Linked DNA regions of Danio rerio. The protein of the gene in region 1 purifies or fractionates together with the protein of each later gene. This does not show direct contact. Links are inferred from orthologs where the notes say so. Each region holds a gene or a part of one and is shown in the gene's direction. Other genes may lie near its edges.

Region 1 (6,147 bases):
GTTAACATTATTATTTCTAGTAGTAATAGTAATTAGTCTGCTACATTTTTTAGTTCATACTGTGAACTTTATCATCAAAAAAAAAAAAAAAAGACATGACAACTCTCTTCATTGTAATTTGAGTGCCACCTGCTTTACAATTTCAATATATTTGGGTTTTTATGCTTTTAAGAGGAACATCTGTCATTTACACAATGTAAAGTGTAAAGACTCGATTCTAACCTAGTAATTACTATAGTAAGTGCATGGGAAATCTGTTACTCTGTCACTTTAAAATAAAGTGATACCTAATTTTTAGATTCACGTAGTACATTTTATTTTATTTTATTTTATTTTATTTTATTTTATTTTATTTATTCTTTGGTCTTCATAATAATGAGAATCAACGCAATTGGGTAAAAGTTCTTTAATTATTAGAGGTGCAGCAAGACATTATATGATACTTGATGTTACAATTTATAAATTGGACAAACATCACTATAGTTGAAGTCATAATTATTAGCCCCCCTGAATTATTAGCGCCCCTGTTTATTTTTTCCCCCAATTTCTGTTCTGTTCTTGGAAGATTGTTTCAGCACATTTCTAAGCTTAATAGTTTTAAAACCTTATTTCTAATAACTGATTTATTTTATCTTTTCCATTGTGACAGTAAATAATGTTTTACTAGATATTTTTCAAGACACTTCTATACAGGTTAAAGTGACATTAAAAGGCTTAACTAGGTTAATAAGGTGAACTAGGCAGGTTAGGGTAATTAGGCCAGTTATTGTATAACGATGGTTTGTTCTGTAGATTATCGGAAAAAAAATTAGCTTAAAGGGGCTAATAATTTTGTCCCAAAAATGTTTTTTTTTTTAATTAATAATTCTAGCCGAAATAAAACAATTAAGACTTTCTCTAAAAGAAAAAATATCATCAGACATACTGTGAAAATTTCATTGCTCTGTTAAACATAATTTGGGAAATATTTAAAAAAAAAGAAAAAAATCAAAAGGGGGATAATAATTTTGACTTGAATTATATATATATATATATACTGTAATATGTAAAACATATTTACATAACAATGTAGTGGTTCATTCCGCTGTAGCGACCCCAGATTAATTAAGGGACTAAGCCGAAAAGAAAATGAATAAATAATAATAATAATAAATAAATAATAATAATAATAGCGGACCTATCATAATGTTGTTATGTGATGACTTGTGACACGTACTGATGTTGTAGAACATGCTATTCTTTCAGAAACTCTTACGATGATGCCAAATCGTTTTGGGGAGTGAAGTGTTTTCTGTGTACTTGATAAAAGCTTTTAATGATCTTTTATCTTGTGTGCATCCTGCTGTTTTAGAGAACATTGTGCAGCCATACTGAAACATGGGTGGAATCTTTGATGTCCACTGGGCTTTTATAAAACTGTTATGACATAGAACATTCCCTTCTGTACACAAGCACAAAGTCAGAGATAAAGCCATAAATGAAAGACTTTATAGAGGATGCTGAGGCTAAAGTTGATCAAAAACATTTACTTTATTCGACGTATAAATTATGGTAGTCAGGTTTTCTCAGTTTAGACCTAGTTTATATTAGATGTGTATCCTAAATCACTTTATAATAACATTTGAAGTCCCCTTGAACTGGAAGCTGTGACCGTTATTTTTTTTTATATTGTGACACAGTTTTTGAAGAAATAAAATAGTAAATTAGCAAGCAGTGGCCGTGGCCTGTTTTTTCTACTGCAAGCTGAATGGATGTTGTATAGTAGGCATTTCCTTTAGAAAGATGGGGAAAAGGGTTTGTGGAGAGTTATTACAACCTAACAGATTCCCACTCCTCACCATTTCTGTTTGGTGTCAAAACTGAGTTGGAGTGGCATGGTTAAATATTTAAGCCACGCCCATTTGCTAAGATATACATAATCAGACAATTTAACAATACAAACAGGAAGTGCATTTTTACATTTCAATTATAGATTAGAAGGGCAATTTTTTTTCTTAATGACATGCATAAATGAATTGTTCAACAAAAAATAAAAAATAAAAAACTAGCAATGTGAGCTAACATAATCATCTGGTTTGTTTTGATTTCTTGAGGACTTTAAATGAGTAATTAAATGAGTGATACATTTAATGCTTACCCTTTATTTTGCAGTGTCATTGTTACAGTGTAATTATACATTCAGGTAATGAGTGATATTATTTATGTTTGTGTATGTGACCATCCGTTGTAATGTTCAGAGGAAAAAACAAAGAGCTGATCCAAAAGCAGCATTTAAACATTTAATGAAAAACCTATGACAAAACAAGACAAACTAAAACAAAGCAAAACAAAGCAGGAACACACAGACCTCATGGAAGTAACTCAAACAACAGACAATGAGAGGGGCACACAAACTGAAATATATAGTCCTGCTCATCAGTGGAAATGAGCCGCAGGTGTGAATGTGTGTGTGTGTGTGTGTGTGTGTGTGAGAGAGAGTGTCTGGATGACGGTCAGCTGGAGCAGGTGTTGATTGGTGCAATGCATTCTGGTCGTTGTAGTTCATGTGGTGTGTGTAGTTCATGTGAATTTTTACCAGCGATCTCTGGATGCGGGATCGTGACAGTGTACTTGACAGGGTTTTTGTTGTTACAATAGTACCATGTACACCATAAAATGATAATTATACATTTTTATTATTATTTATGTCTTTTTACCTTGTGCTTATTAAATAAATACTCTATGTAATTACAGACAGTTAATTTCTGTAAAAAAATGTGTATGTTGTTAACGCTACTCCTACTCCTACTGAACTCATCACAAAATGTACATTGTTCCTATCAATTACTTTCTTTGAATGCAAGTACTAATTAAGTACTAGTTAAAGAAAACTAATGGATCCCCTGCAACCTTATAAATTAAAATGAGAAACAAACATTTTGTTTGTAAATGTGATCATTTATGTGGTCTATTATGACATGATTTGCATTGATTATTTGATTTGGTTTATTGACAGAGTTCAAATATTTATCTGAATGTTTTATATCCAATATTTTGTGTGGAGTGATGTGTTTGACCTGAGGCATTTACTCTCTTTTTAGATCCAGAGGAGTTCCTCAACATCCTGTTTCATCACATCCTGAGAGTTGATCCTCTTCTCAGACTTCGGTGGGCATGTCCTTCAAATCCATGCAAAAATCTGCCTTTTCTGATATGATGAAGTTGGTATTGAAAAGTGCTGTGTGTCTTTTGCAGGTCTGCAGGGCAGAAGGTTCAGGACTGTTACTTCTATCAAATCTTTATGGATAAGAAAGATAAAGTGATGGTGCCGACCAGCCAGCAGCTTCTGGAGTGGTCTTTTATCAACAGTGATCTCAAATTTGCAGAGGTATGATATGTACATGTGCATCTGGAGCCTTGTGAACCATACAATTAGCAGAGAGGCCGGTTTCATTTTACATGCTTTATTGTTTAATAATGTCATCTTTATTGTTTTTATGTTGAAACTAAACATTACAAACCTTACAAACAAAAGATAACATGAACAAACCATTAGGCATGGGATTATAACCGTTTTCAAGGTATACCTCAGTTTGAAAAAGTCAAGGTTTTCATTTTCTGCTATACCGTTCCTAAGGTATGTGTAAGATTTCTTATTGAAACTTTTTTTTTTTGTTTTTTAGGACAACTGTATCTCCATCAGAAAAGAGATCCAAGATGCCATTTTAAATTGTAAAGAAATCAGTGTTTTTGAAACCAATGACGATAACAGAAGTCAATGGTTAATTTATTCAGCCTGACCTGTTTACTGCTACAAAATATTTCGAATGTTTCTCAAAACAAAATATATTGCTTTCAAAGGGGGAAAAGGTTTCACTTTTTTACCCAGACATTTAAAAAGAATATATTTAAGAGCAGTAATCACAATACTATAAAACTGTGATATTTTCATCCAAGGTTATCACTGTCAGAATCTTATTCCGGCCCATGTCTACAAACCATACAAGTTTGTTGTTACATAGAAACATTTAGATTTAAAAAAATCATATATAGACTGGTAGTTTGGGGTTGGAGAAATATATATTTTTTTTAAATACAAATTGGCATACATCAAACTTGCATGTATTTATAAAAATACGGTAAAACTAATGTTTTGAAATAATATTTTTTGATCAAATAAATGCATATGGATTTATTTAAAATAAACTTTTAAACTGTACTGTGTATTACTTTTTGTCAGGTTTCATGTGTTTGTTGAATCGTTTTAAGGTACAATTCCTGAATGAATAATAATGGTAGTAGTAGTAGAATTAGCATCCAGAGTATAGGCCTAAATGTTGAATTTCCTCCAAATAAACACAATGGGCCTCATTCATGAAACATAATAATTTTTGTGTAAATCCATGAAAGTTAATATTTTTAAATGTTAGTTGTTACAAATGAAATATGCATGTGCTTCCTCCCATGCTGCTTTTTTATCATTATTATTTTTCCCAACTCCATTATATTTCATTTGATCTTTTGACCTGTGCAGTAATTTTTTTCAAAATGGTTTGTAAAGTAAACATTAGTAAAGTTTACTGCTGTGGATTCCAAATCATAGCAACCCAAGCATCTCAGCTGAAAAACACTGTGCCACCAGAGCAATCTCAAGCGCCGCCATCTGGCCATATGTAGAAATGCAGCAGGCATTTTGAAACTGTCTAAAACGCTTTAGTGTTTTGAAATTGTATTTTTAGGCCTATGGCATATTAGTCTTTCTAATACTAATGAAATATGCTGGAGTCAAACCGTAGAAGGGAGTCCAGAACACTCCACTGCGTTCCTGGACATATCATTTACATATTTCTAAATTAGAAGGAGATTATGAATGAGAGTGCACTCTCGCTGTTGATAAATGTTGGGAATTCATTACAATCCATGAACATGAACAATCAAATCTAGTTTTGGGAAAGTATTTTAAGATTCTGGAGGGACTTTTTAAAAAGGTCTAGAAACCACTCAGACTACTCCTATATTTACTACTGTTTCACGAATGAGTCCCATTAAACACTTAATATTTATAAGAGACAGATGTATTCAAATGAGAATTGATGCATCTAAATATTGTTGTTCACTGTGATAAATGAGTGAATAAGGGGAAATGTCATGTTCTGGTCTGTTTATTTCTCTCCAGGCCCCTTCTTGCCTTATCATTCAGATGCCTCGGTTTGGGAAGGACTTCAAAATGTTTAATAAGATCTTCCCATCTCTGGAGCTTGACATCACAGATCTATTAGACGACAGTGAGTCACTTCAGTAACTAAATAGGCTTTGAAAAAAAAAAAAAAACACACATAATGTATTTTATCTGTGTTGGGATGAAGAATATAAGAAAAAAGTGCATTATATTTAAAGGAATTGACGAAGGTTTGTTTTAGCCCCTAGAGAATGTCGAATCTGTGGAGGTTTAGCTCTATATGAGTGCAGAGAGTGCTATGAAGATTATGACATCACACCAGGAAAGATCAAGCAGTTCTGTGAAAAGTGCAATACGCAGGTATTACAAACACACACACATAATCGTCTCATGAACATGCTCTACTGCAGCGATGTCAAACTCAATTCCTGGAGGGCCGCAGCCCTGCACAGTTTAGTCCCAACCCCAATTAAACACACCTGATCAAACTAATTGAGTCCTTTAGGCTTGTTTCAAAAATACAGGTAAGTGTGTTGGTGCAGGGTTGGAACTAAACTGTGCAGGGCTGTGGCCCTCCAGGAATTGAGTTTGACATCCCTGCTTTACTGGCTACTTAACTGAATTATCTCGCAGTTGTACCTTTCATATCCACTAGGTGGAGACCTTTTCTTATGAATAGCCGTTCAAATAAGCAGGTAGACAAGTGTAAGAGTTTAGTGCCACTGTATATAGACCATTTCAATGTTGTCATGTCATTGGCCCATGAACATTTCCTGCTTGTTATCAAACTATTTCATAACTGTAACAAGAGATAATTCAATCATAACTTTATGTTTAAACAGCTATCATATAATTATTTATCAATATGTGGACCATTTTTGGATTCTCAGAATCTATAGAAAGTAAAATGTAAAACAGGAAATACGTTGGGACCACTGTTTTCGTTTCCATCCCTAAAAATTATCTATATAATGGTTTATTTCCTTTTT
Region 2 (6,137 bases), on another chromosome or scaffold:
TGAGCACACAAGGAAAGATGTTTATTTTTGGGTGAACTATCATTGGACAGAAACAGCTGTGTGGGAAGTTAAGGTTATAGTTGCAGTGGGAATGAACATTTTGTGTGGTTATTTATTAAGCACATTCTATTGGGGTTAAATAATTGCTTAAAGCAGGGGTCACCACACTCCATCCTGGAGGGCCAGGGTCTTGCATATGTATCTCCAATCCTAATTAAACACACCTAAACAAGCTAATCAAGATCTTCATAGGCACAATTCCAGGCAGGTGTGATGAGGCAAGTTGGAGCTTAACTCAAAATTACAAGCAAAAGCTGCACAATATAGCATCAAATCATTATTTTTTATTATTTAGTTGTTTTGTATCGACAAACATCCTAAGTTGGTAAAACTTGTGTGCGCGCGCGTACCCAAAAAGCGGTGGGAGTTGCACGCGCGACGCGACATACCTGAAGAGCGGTGGGGGTGAGCTGCGTGCAACGTACCTTAAGAATGGTGGGGGTGAGTTGCGCGAGACGTACCTTAAGAACGGTGGGGGTGAGTTGCGTGCGACGTACCTTAAGAATGGTGGGGGTGAGTTGCGCGTGACGTACCTTAAGAACGGTGGGGGTGAGTTGCGCGTGACGTATCTTAAGAACGGTGGGGGTGAGTTGCGCGAGACGTACCTTAAGAATGGTGGGGGTGAGTTGCGCGTGACGTACCTTAAGAACGGTGGGGGTGAGTTGCGCGTGACGTATCTTAAGAACGGTGGAGGTGAGTTGCGCGAGACGTACCTTAAGAACGGTGGGGGTGAGTAGCGCGAGACGTGCCTTAAGAACGGTGGGGGTGAGTTGCGCGAGACGTAACCTTAAGAACGGTGGGGGTGAGTTGCGCGAGACGTAACCTTAAGAACGGTGGGGGTGAGTTGCGCGAGACGTAACCTTAAGAACGGTGGGGGTGAGTTGCGCGAAACGTAACCTTAAGAACGGTGGGGGTGAGTTGCGCGAGACGTAACCTTAAGAACGGTTGGGGTGAGTTGCGCGAGACGTAACCTTAAGAACGGTGGGGGTGAGTTGCGCGAGACATAACCTTAAGAACGGTGAGGTTGAGCTGTGCGAGACGTACCTGAAGAGCTACTAGGGATGCGGTGGAGAGAGGGGTGTGTAACGTATTTAGGACCGGGCAGGAGACACTCGATTTCCGGGAGATTATCATTCATTTGCGGGCATTCAGGAGTGTCTATGCATTTCAGGGATACTCCCGCAACTTCCGGGAGACTTGGGATGTCTGCATTGACAATAGAAACAGATTGACACCATTGAAAATAATGGCAGCCCCCATAGTCCAAAATATGTATAAAATTATTTGGATTTTGTTAGCATAATGTCATGTTTTTATCTACTTATAAGGATACTTAAGGATAGTTTGTCCAAAACAGAACATTCGTCATCATTTACTTACTTTACTGTTTGAGTTTCTTTCTTCTGTTAAACACTAAAGAATATATTTGGAAGACGCCTGCAAAACTACTATGGAAATGAATATAGGTTTTCAGCTTTCTTTAAAATATCTTTAGTGTTTAACAGTAGAAAGGGAATCACTTGAGTGAGAGTAAATAGTAAAGTTTTATTTTTATATCTCTTTAACATCATTTACATTGTTAATGACTTGTCTTTCACACTTGCAGACCTTCACAGGGCCATACGTGTACCAGTTGCAGTCTGTGTTATGCGACTCCGACCTGCGATCTCTACTGCGTTCCATGGGCTATTCAAGAGAACAGGAATTGCAGTACAATGTTAGGGACCATCCAGGTGGAGCTTCTCACCTTCGGCAGCTTGCTTTTGAACTGCTTCTGGCTCAGGCAGAGTGCCGTCTGTTGGGCGAGGTGGTTTCCATGTCTCGTGGCTTTGCATCAGAGCTGGAGGCTGTGGAGTTGAGAAGAAACACCAGAGAAGATGCAGCGGGGTGTGCAGATGCCCTTCGTAGACGAGACAGCCTCACTGGAGATTTGTCCCGCCTGTCTGTGCGACCGCTAGATATTGATCGTGCCCACCTAAGGCGAAGCGGTCGCCCATCCAAGTCAGTGGATGTAACGGACAGCGCAGGACACTGGCACCAGGCCAGCAAGCCAGTGCTGAAGGCCTCACTCAGTCTGCGCAAGGAGCCGTTGTTTGTTGACACAGATGAAGACATGAAGGACGAAATCATCCGACCTAGCCCCTCGCTCTATCCAGTGGCAGCGCCACCTTCTTACAGTCCAGTGGCTGACTTCTTCCCAATTCAGTCGCCCCCGTCAGAGCCATACTCTTACCACTTGTCCTCCCTGGACGAGGTGGACCTGTACACCGAGCGGGGGTTGGGTGGCCACCAGACACCCTCTAGGCCACCGAGCCGGGAGCCTCGAGACAGTTGGGTTTTGAAAGGACACATGATGAAGTGCCAGGGCTGTGGCATGGGCTGCCCTTCGCTTTCCTCTTGCCAAAGGTGCGACATGATCTTGTGCTCCTCTTGTCATGCGGTGGACCCAGCACCTTGTTGCGGCTTCCAGGATTACACTAAAACCTCCCGCCCTCTGGATGGCTACATGCCCATCAAGGAAAAATTGTCTGTCTACTCCAGTGCCCACTCGCACACCCACCCTCATCCTCACCCACTTCCCCACGCTCAGTCCCATTCGCTGTTGCTGGACAAAGCTGTGATGAGCTCCAAGCTGTTTCCCAGTAAACCTGTGGGTTCGGGCCCCAGTCCGGTGGGCAGCTTGGTCAGCAGTGGCAGCAGCAGCAGTGGGGGTGAGCGGCTGAGTGTGGGCGGCTCCCGCTGTGGCTTCTGCAACAAGCCAGGTGCCTCTCACACCTGTGTGAACTGCTCCAAGGTTTCATGTGACACCTGCATGAGCCTCTACGCCAGTGATTTGTGCACTCGCAAAAATCCCCATCATAACTTTGTGCCCAATCATCAACTCAATTTCAAATCCAGCACCATATCTCACCTCGTATATCGATAGACCAGAAACACAGTTGTGCACTACACCTCTATTGCTTTTTTTTTTCTCTGCTTTTTTTTCCCACCCTTGATTTCTGTTTTATTTAAGTTGTCCTGCTTCCTTTCTCCGTTGGCTATTGTTTGGTTTTGGTCATGTGATCTTGCAGTGCATTTCCTGTCCCTCAGTTGACTGTTTATAACTGTATGACTGGAGAGATCCATCTCAGTATCAGTGTTTGTTAACTCGGATAAAAAAAAAAAAAAAACATGCAGCGCGTAGCAGAGACTTCACCCTGGAATTGAAACGAAAAAGTTGGAACTTCTCAAACTTGAACAAAAGGAAAAAAATTATGATAATAATAACCTTACACTGGACATAAATAGTATATATTTTGAATTGTGAAGCTATAGCTCTATATAAGACTATTGGTCTCATAGTGGGGGGAGGGGTTTCCCAGTTAAATGGGGTTTCAGTAGTGAATTTGTATCAGAACTTCTAGTTGCTGTCATGTCACTATATTGAGTCCTCCGACAAGAAATGCCTTGTGGGTTTACCCCTAAGAAGTCAGTCTATGCTGTTCAAAATGCTGCTGTTGAAAGTAAAACCAGGAGGGGGCGCTCTTGACTCATGAAACTCCCCTTGGCAAGGTTCATGCACACACTGTATGACAGGGGTGCGCAACCTTGTTCCTGAAAATCCACCTCCGAGTTTAGCTCCAACTGATCAAACACAACTTTAACCAACTAAGTATTAGAAGGAGCACTTGGTAATTAAAGCCATGTGCTTTTGATCAAGCTTCTAGCTGAACTCTGCAGCAAGGCAGATCTCCAGGAACAGGGTTGGGCACCTCTGCTGTTTGATTATGTCAGTATGTTTTTTTTTTAATCTGTCCAGTTTTCCTTTACATCTTTGTAACCTGTTATGATTTGAATTGGAGAATAATTTAATATTTTGTGTACTGTCATTAGAAAGTTATTTTTGTTAATTCATTGTACAATAAATTTATGGTGTGTACACATACCATGACAAACTAAAGTTTTACTACAGGGTGAATGTTATGAGGATTGTGTGGGTCATATTTTATTTTAGAATCCAGATTCTAGTTGCTGCAATGCAAAAATAGCGATACAGTATTAAGCGCCATTCGTAATCGTTCATAATGCTCCCATTAAGAAAAAGGTTTTACAGTACCAAATGTTATTACCACTTATTTATTGAATTATTTATTTATATTCTAAAGTAAAATGTGACTTGGACATATTTATTTTATTTTTTTTTTGAGAGAGAGAGAGAGAGAGAGAAATTCACCCTAATAATGAACTGTATAATCTTATAAAAATTGGCTTGTTTCTATTAATTTAACACTAATTTTATACATCATTTCATATATTTAATTTCCTCTTTTTCCATCTAGTCTGTCATCCTGGTTGCATATCTTTAATTTCAGAGACCTTTCGACCTGCTCTCCCTGCTGCCTTAGGTAAGCTTTTCCAGTCCCCTGAAGGCTGCGCTCAATGCAGGACTCCATGCTTAATGTCTGTACGCAGCATAAAGCGGTGGCCAAAAAAAAAAAAAACCTTGTCAGGGAAACAGAAACTAGCACAATACATGACTGCATGTTCTGACACAGTAACTTCAGTGTGTGTTTTTAATTTAGCGAGTGTTAGTGGATCTGGCCAGTCCTCTAGCTCTCCTTGCCTTTGTCTCTCTCAAACTCTGCAGGTTCCAGAACAAAATACTGCAGGAAAATGTGATTGGATTTCACTCGCGAGTGACAGCATGATAAACCAATCAAAACGTCTATGTGCCAAACGCCCACAGGCTGTGAAGAAAGAACCGAACTGCATATCCGCACGCTCACTGAGCCACCAACCTTGGGTAACAAACCAGTTCTGGTATTAATCTGTTTGTGTGTTGGTTTCACTGAACTGGTGGTGATTCCTCCTGGTGAAGTTCCTCAACACACACTGCTTTATTCATTCAGACATCAGCTGAGGTCAGATCTATCCTCAACGGAGGTGTGGTGGGGCGAAGGGACTGGGTGGGTCAGGGGTAAGGAGTTAGCCGAAATGTTTGTCAGTAAAAGTATAATCCTATAATTCTATAAATTAATGAAAAGCGATGATTTTATAAAATAATTTCAGAAATAAAATTCTACCAAAAAATGCGCTGCCTTTGGTGTTTGACTTTTGGGTCAAAAATCGTCAGAGATGACTTCACATTCAACAGTAATCAAGTGAAAGGAAAAAGTAAGTGTTAATCGGCTGGATGTACTCTTTAGTTTAAGTACTAATTCTTACTACCTGTTTACTATTAATATCAGGGGCGGATTGGGACAAAATTTAGCCCTGGCACTGTAGCCACACCAGCCCAGATTACCACACAGACACGCACATTCACTACTCAAATTGGTGTACAGATGGTGAAATAATTTAAACATTTAAATTTAATGAATTTAAAACATTTAATGTATATGACTTGAACAAAAACTACTCGTCATTCTCTGTCGCTCTATCTAAGGATTAAATAATTTATGCATGTATTTAATGTTTAAAGACTAGCAACAGTTAGAGAAAAAAAAAATTTCAACACATTTCTAAACATAATAGTTTTAATAACTCATCTCTAATAACTGATTTATTTTATCTTTGCCATGATGACAGTAAATAATATTTGACTAGACATTTTTAAAGACCCTTCTATACAGCTTAAAGTGACATTTAAAGGTTTAACTAGGTTAACTAGGCAGGTTAGGGTAATTAGGCAAGTTATTGTATAACAATGTTTTGTAGATTATCGAGAAAAAATTATAGCTTACAGGGGCTCATAATTTTGTCCCTAAAATGGTGTTTAAAAAATTATTAACTGCTTTTATTCTAGCCGAAAAAAAAAAGAAATAAAACTTTCTTCTGAAGAAAAAATATTATCAGTCATACTGTGAAAGTTTTCTTGCTCTGTTAAACATCATTTGGAAAATATTTTTAAAAAGAAGAAAAAAAATTGGTCACACTTTACATTAAGGTTCATTAGTTAATGTTAATTAATGCATTTACTAACATGAACAAACAATGAACAACACATTTACTAATGTATTTGTTCATGTTAGTTAACGTTAGTTAATGAAAATACAGTAGTTCATTGTTAGTTCATGGTGCATTAACTAATGTTAACC

What was found. Proteins that work in one complex are often made in the same cells at the same time.
Region 2: the proteins of cyld (region 1) and spata2 purify together in Homo sapiens (affinity purification with western blotting; 10 studies listed by BioGRID and IntAct, with this or other methods). This does not show direct contact. The link is inferred for Danio rerio from reciprocal best matches to the Homo sapiens genes CYLD and SPATA2.

What each region holds. Positions count from the first base shown.
Region 1 is NC_133182.1:37,727,478-37,733,624, reverse strand, and holds part of cyld (ubiquitin carboxyl-terminal hydrolase CYLD), read left to right. Parts: intron 1-3,080; coding exon 3,081-3,147; intron 3,148-3,234; coding exon 3,235-3,367; intron 3,368-3,662; coding exon of another isoform or gene 3,663-3,779; exon of another isoform or gene 3,780-4,198; intron 4,199-5,155; coding exon 5,156-5,264; intron 5,265-5,399; coding exon 5,400-5,518; coding exon of another isoform or gene 5,519-5,564; intron 5,565-5,721; coding exon of another isoform or gene 5,722-5,744; exon of another isoform or gene 5,745-6,147. UniProt on the Homo sapiens protein: Deubiquitinase that specifically cleaves 'Lys-63'- and linear 'Met-1'-linked polyubiquitin chains and is involved in NF-kappa-B activation and TNF-alpha-induced necroptosis.
Region 2 is NC_133198.1:3,532,055-3,538,191, forward strand, and holds the end of spata2 (spermatogenesis-associated protein 2), read left to right. Parts: exon of another isoform or gene 1-893; intron 894-1,074; exon of another isoform or gene 1,075-1,642; coding exon of another isoform or gene 1,643-1,666; coding exon 1,667-2,986; 3' UTR 2,987-4,000; downstream 4,001-6,137.